2 linked regions of the Oryzias latipes genome follow. The protein of the gene in region 1 purifies or fractionates together with the protein of each later gene. This does not show direct contact. Links are inferred from orthologs where the notes say so. Each region holds a gene or a part of one and is shown on either strand. Other genes may lie near its edges.

Region 1 (3,045 bases):
CAGTCAGCATTGATTTGAAAAAGATTCCAGATTTTTCTAAATATGTCATATTTGTCCTCCGTTTATCATTTTTGTCTACTTCCGTAATGAAGCTCTTTTGAAAACCAAATTCTTTGGAGCCGAGTCAGGTCAGAGTCTTTACACACAGGATTAAGTCTCCTTTCACTGAAATGTGAAACCATCTAGTTCTACTAAATCAATAAACCCATTTACGGCCAGTTCACGAAGGTTTTTCCACTTTTTTGTCAAATATATTTTTTTGTCTAAACCCCATTGTTTCGTTTTAAATCTGGTCAAATGGAGGCGTGGTCTAAGTGAACAGGTGAGCATTCATCCACAAATGGACCTTTTGGTTTGTTTGGGTTCTTTTAGAACCACTTTTTTAGCTCTGTGGTCAAAACTTGACCTTTCCAAAAATGGGCAAACAGGTGCAATACACTCACCTGGAATATGGTTCCACGACCATCTGTCAATCAATCATTCTAACCTAATCTCAATGATGTTATTAATGCTCATATTCATGAAATGTACATTTTTGTCAGGCGTTAAATGGAACCTCCTCAGAAGATAACACTGAGTCCGTTTGTCTGACTAAGACGCCATCTACAGGTTACATGTGGAACTAACCTGCATTCAGTTCCCTGTGTTAATAACAGTCAGCTTTGCCGCCTTCCTACTCATTTTTCAAGAGGTTCAGTGATGTCATATCCTGTTAAGATGGTGGAAATCAAAAATGTAAAGGATTGGCTTCAAACCCCTTCATCACACGGTTCCTGTTGTTTTCCAGGTGATAGTCTGAGCCAAGTTTCTTTTTGTCTTTGCAGTGATGAAGCAGAGGAGGAGATCGTGACTCCCTCTCCGTCTCCCTCCCCTGAACTGAGGAATCGCTCGCGCTCCTCTCCACCACAGGAGTCAGGGATCAAACGCCTGTAAGTCCTGGCTGCACGTCTGCGCACGCTCCTGCTCAGAGCTGGCTTCTGGTGACGGTTTGCTTTTAGTCAGCGCACGCTTCATACATAAAAAAACAAGCTAACACGTTAGCTACAAACAAAAATAACAAGCTAACGTGTTGATTGCACACAAAAAAACACAAGCTAACACAATAGCGTTAACAAAAAACAAGTTAACACGTTAGCTAAAGACAAAAATAACTACAAAAAAACAAGCTAACACGTTAACTACAAACAAAATATCAAGCTAACATATTGGCTGCAAACATAGAAAAAAACAAGCGAGCGCATTAGCTGCAAAAGAAACAAAAAATAACCAAGCTAACATGTTAGCTGCAAAAAAAACAAGCTAACACGTTAGCTACTAAAAAACAAAACAAGCAAACACATTAGCTGCAAACAAGAAAAAAGAAAAAAAAACAAGCTTACACGTAAGCTACAAACAAATATAACAAGCTAACGTGTTGGCTGCAAAAAAAACAAGCTAACATGTGCGCTGCAAACAAATAAAAACAAGCTAACACGATGGCCGCAAACAAGAAAAGACAAAAAAAACAAGCTCACATGCTGGAGAGCTAAAAGCGCTCATGCTAATCCGACAGAAACATCCTGGCCGTCCTCTGCAGTGAGCGTGTTTTGAGCTTGAGGTTAGGGGTCAAAGGTTGATTTTAAGCTGTGAATTGTTCGCTGTGACAAAAGGACAAAACTTTCCCTGAAAAAGAACATTTACAGCAAAGTAACCTTTAAGGCGTGTCCACAGGATTTCTTTGATCAGATTTTTCGTGGCTAAACCGAAGTCTGTGTGGTTTCTAAGCGTTTGTTTCTAAAATGCTGCTGTAAAAGTTTGTAAGAAGAACGTCTGCCCGCCTTTCTTCTCTGCAGGTTTAGCTTCTTCTCACGCGATAAGCGGCGCAGCTCGCAGCAGAGCGGCCAGCTTCACTCCAGCTTCAGCTTGTGGAAGGACGACGTGTACACGGAGCAGGCGCAGGAGGCTCTGCAGCACCTGTGACCACCGCCGCCGCGGCTCAAGCTCCGCCCCCTCCAGGGAACAGATGGTGTTCTGACGATGTTCTGGAGAGAAAAGGTTTTTCACGTGAAATGTTGAAGGACAGAGAAGGATTTGACCCGGACTAAAACCGTTTAAAGGGTCTTTAAAAAAATCCTTCCACTTGTGTGGAAGCTACACATTTGTGGGATGAAATGATGTAAAAATGTCGGTCAGACGACGCGTCCATCATCCGCATTGTTCAGAGTGTGCAGCTTCATGCAGAAAAAAAGGCAAACATGATATTTTTGTGAAGAAACCCTCAGAGATTGACTTATTTATAAAATCTAAAAGAGTATTTCTGCGGGGGGAAAAAATATTTTTTTTTTTTACTTTTTTATGATTTAGTTTTAGTTTCGAGAAGAAAAAAAATCTGTATTCTTCAGTTTTTTCTCAATTTTGTTAGGGCCACCATAAAAGAAAACAACAATACATTCATGAAAATAAAGTCAGAAAAAAATAATCAAATTAAGGGAAAACTCTTTATTTTTTATTGTAAAAAAAAAAAGTCGAAATTTAAAGAGAATAAAGTTGTAAAAAAATCCTAAAACTTGGGTTTTCAATGTAAGGCACCTTGTTTGACTGCAGTCATTTTAAGGCGCTATATAGATAAATACAATTTTTTAAAAAAAGAGTAAAAGTTAGAAAATGTAAAAACATTACTGAGAATAAAAGCGTAAAATTATGATTAAAAAAAGGCAAAATTCTTCAAGAATAAAGTTTAAATATAATGAGATTAAAATAATAAATAAATTGTCATAAATTTAAAAAAAAGGTAAAAATATAAAATCTTATGAGAATATAGTTGTAACATTTTGAGAAAACAAAACTTAAAATTACGAGAGAGAAATCAAAATCTTACAAATTTAAAATATATCATTTTTTTATTTTTAAATCATAGTTTTACAAGAAAAAAAGGTGAAAGTTCTTTTTGTAAAATAAATTAAAATTTAAACTGTGAATTTACAAAATAGTAAATCAGATTTCTCGAGATTTTTGAGCAGTTTGATGATTTCTCTGAATTGTTTGCTACACAAACTAAACAAGACA
Region 2 (3,828 bases), on another chromosome or scaffold:
TTTACAAAGCGACAGTAATCATGTCTCCATGTCTTGACATTCAGAGACTCTCCTGGTACGTTAAGCTTCACTGTCTACTACAGGAGCTGAATGACTGTTGTTTCCTGTGGTTTTCCGTCTCTCTGACCCAGTCTGTAGACTTGCTGTCCTGCATTAGCCAGAGGAAGGACAAAAATACAAATAAAATTTAGATTTTTTTATTTTTATTTTTGTCTTGACGCAAATAAGAAAAAGATGAAGTTTGGGACGAGAACGACCAGCTTCTCTGCATGAATGGATTTGGACTCCACCCACTGATCATCACTGAACACGTCACCTGATTAGTTGTCATGATGTGTCCTCCTCGCCAAAGCAAAGAATTTTGAACTGTGGATGCGCTATGACACCCAAATTGTGCCGTGACGCTGAAATTGCACTGCTGCTGGACAAAGGCGCCATGCCAAATGATAAAACAACGCCACTGGAGCTCTGATCGCAGCTGTACATTGACTTAACATGAAACTTGACGCCTCTGGCGCGTGAATCGCGTTTGGTGTGGAAAGCAGGCTGAGAATAACAGCTGAGGTCTTCTTGTTCCTCTCTGTTTTAGCCAGGTATTGAACCGAATCAAGGTTTAAACCTGTTCTTGGAAAGTGAAGTAATAGCATCTTTAACACCCACACATAATCTAGAATCCCTTTCAGATTAAAACAAATGCATCCTGAAGTATAAACTACTAGATGTGATTATTTTAGGATGCATCATAAACTGATGAGATTTGATAAAACCAGAAATGGAAGCTTTATAATCGATGTTTGATCCTAAATTGATTTGTTGAAAAACTAAAAGTTGCAGCTTTGGTAGAAATGTTTCTGCTTTCTTCTGAGTCTGTGAACCTTTTTAGGGGGCTGGCTCTGAAGTGTCTTTTACGTGGGAGGAGCTGCTGAGTTTGTTACTGTTTTTGTTTGCAGGGACACAGCGGGCCAGGAACGGTTCCACACCATCACCACATCCTACTACAGAGGAGCCATGGGCATCATGCTGGTCTATGACATCTCCAACACCAAGAGCTTTGAAAACATCAGCAAATGGTTGCGTAACATCGACGAGGTGAGGCACACCAATGTTGCTTTTGGTTTCCTCATCGACGTGCCGGGGCGCCTTCAGGCTTTAAATCTGTCGTCAGCAGCAGCGTTGTTTGCTGATGAACTTCAGATCACCAAACAGTCGTTTATGATTCCCATGATTCACTAGTTGTTGGTAAACAGCGGCTGAAAGAAGAATGAAAGCGGTGCTCTCACAGGGATTACTGTGGGGTTAGTGTGGTGGGAAATGGTGTGTCATGTTTTCAGGAACGGTTTCTGCTGAGTCAGTCCTTCCTGTCCTTTTGGGAATGTCTGGGAATATCTTTGTGGCTGCCCTGATGAATGGAGGAATGCTTGGTGGAGGAGTTAGTCTAACCGAAGAGCTGAATTCCTTCTCGCTGTTTAAAGTGAACTTTTAAAATGGTAATTTTGAATTGTGAGATTCTATTTCCTGAGATAATTCACATCCTGGTGAAAATCCAAAGTTTGGATCAAAGCTTCAGATGTGGACGTTTTAAAAAAAAAAAAAAAAAAAAAAAAAAATTAACATCTCCTTTGCTACGATCCGTCTTTGCTTTGCTAAAAAGCCCTACAAAGATCATGCTCTGATCTAGAAGCAATGTAATCTTAATATAAATCCTTTAGACATAAATATTTATCTTTAATTCTCTATTTAAACAATAGTTTTTGTTCTGCCTGCGTCTCTACTCTAAAGCTTAACGCACGTTCTAGAACAGGGGTCGGGAACCTTTTTGGCCGAGAGAGCCATAAACACCACAAATCATTAAATGTAATTCCATGAGAGCCATTCAGTATTGTAGCGTCCCTTCCCACACTGAGGCACGGAGACTTTACCTCTTTTAAGGTTCTTTATTCTGGTTACTGCAGGCCGTAACCAACGCCGTACAACTTATTCAGCAACTCCTGAATCTCTTTCGCCAAGGGCGCTTAACCCAACCTTTTATTCCTCCCGCACCAGCCCTCCTATATACCGTATTTTCCGGACTATAAGTCGCTCCAGAGTATAAGTCGCACAGGCCCAAAAATGCATTATAAAGTAGAAAAAAAACACAGATAAGTCGCACTGGACTATAAGTCGCATTTTGACGGGAAATTCTTTTGACAAAATCTGAGACCAAGAACTAATAACTTGCACAACCTCATATGACACAATCATAGCAGACTGTTTATCTCATAATTTCACAGTAATTCTTTCTCATATTTATTTATTCCTTTCATGAAGCATCATTGGCCAACTAATACTCTGTTTTCATCCTGTATTTGTAGAATGTAGTAATTTCTATTGTATTTCTGAATCTATGAAATCATTGGAAAATAGAATATGATGATGTTAGCCTTCAAGATCTTATTTAAAAAAAAGGTTTGCTGATTCTCTGAGTCACTTAACAAACTCTTAACACTTAACATACCTCATACATCAAATTGACCCAGGAACATCATCAATGTTCCTCACAAATGAACATAACAGGAGGATTAACAATGTTTATTTCAGTTTAGCTCTAATATAAGTCACTGCGGAGTATAAGTCGCACCCCTTGCCAAACTATGAAAAAAAGGGCGACTTATAGTCCGGAAAATACGGTACTTATTCGGCCCGTAGCTGAACCCCATTGGTCCAAACTCCCCAACCACAGGCTGAGCGACAGAACTGAGAGCCAATCAGCATCTCTGCTTGATGCGTTCAATGAACTCCAGAACTTAGGACACGACCCAACAGCCACCCAGTCCAACTGAGTCACTACAATATGTTTAAAACTAAAAATACAAGTGAATGTGTGCATTTTGTGCAATTTCAACACTTTTAAAGTACAATAAGTCTGTTGATTCTTTTTAATAACATTGTTATACTGTTGTTAATAAATGATGAGTATTTCTTAGCATTAATGTGACTTCTGGTGCTGCATGGTGGTTTTGCTGATGGTCTAGTCTGGTTGATACGTGGTGAGTTTAAGCTTCATGCAGGCGTTGAGACTTCCATCCGTTAAACGTGATCGTAGGTTGGTCTGAATGTTCTTTAGATTGGACAAAGACTGCTGACATGCAGACGTCGGTACAGCAATACTCACACGCTGCAGTGTGTGGTATGTGACGGGCAGCGTGTTCTAAGTTTTGACAATTAGTGCGCGTTTCACCTCGCTGCCAGAGCCCACTACCCCTCCCCTTCTCCTACATCCTGTTCCTGCAGCTGCGCGCTCCTTCCTCAGAGACGGAGTGGCAGCTGCAGGACGGCAGATCGCAGGTTTCAGGCTGTTACAAACTCTGTGATACAACAGATAATAGTAAACCGATAGTGGGGCAGATTTTTATTTTCCAAGCACGGCTATCCCAGGCATCACGCCCGAGAAGGACTGGTCTGATGAAAAAAAAATTATAATTAAAGATTTGTCTAAGAGCCAAATGTGGCCATCAAAATAGCCAGATATGGTTTGCGAGCCATGGGTTCTAGAACATTCATTCAACCTAAGATTTTCCCACTGGACAAGCGGGAAGGGGCTGCTGCTTCTTCTTCTGCTGCTTCTTTACTAGTGCATATCTGCCACCTACAGTTGGAAGAGGGTTGGTGCAAAATGTTGGTGCCAATCCCGTTAATCTCGCTCCAAGCTTTTTCTGTCTGTTCTGATACATGAAAGACTGGTGTTGTATAAATAATTATTCATTTCTTCTTCATGATTTATTTTCAAATGGCACTTCCTTGAATTAAAAGGGACACCATCCATGTGCCACTACACGTTCAATGGTCACG

The links.
Region 2: the proteins of rilpl1 (region 1) and rab10 purify together in Homo sapiens (co-immunoprecipitation; 3 studies listed by BioGRID and IntAct, with this or other methods). This does not show direct contact. The link is inferred for Oryzias latipes from reciprocal best matches to the Homo sapiens genes RILPL1 and RAB10.

The regions. Positions count from the first base shown.
Region 1 is NC_019870.2:2,567,521-2,570,565, forward strand, and holds the end of rilpl1 (RILP-like protein 1), read left to right. Parts: intron 1-824; coding exon 825-929; intron 930-1,832; coding exon 1,833-1,959; 3' UTR 1,960-2,300; downstream 2,301-3,045. UniProt on the Homo sapiens protein: Plays a role in the regulation of cell shape and polarity. Plays a role in cellular protein transport, including protein transport away from primary cilia.
Region 2 is NC_019882.2:17,731,032-17,734,859, reverse strand, and holds part of rab10 (ras-related protein Rab-10), read left to right. Parts: intron 1-950; coding exon 951-1,089; intron 1,090-3,828. UniProt on the Homo sapiens protein: The small GTPases Rab are key regulators of intracellular membrane trafficking, from the formation of transport vesicles to their fusion with membranes.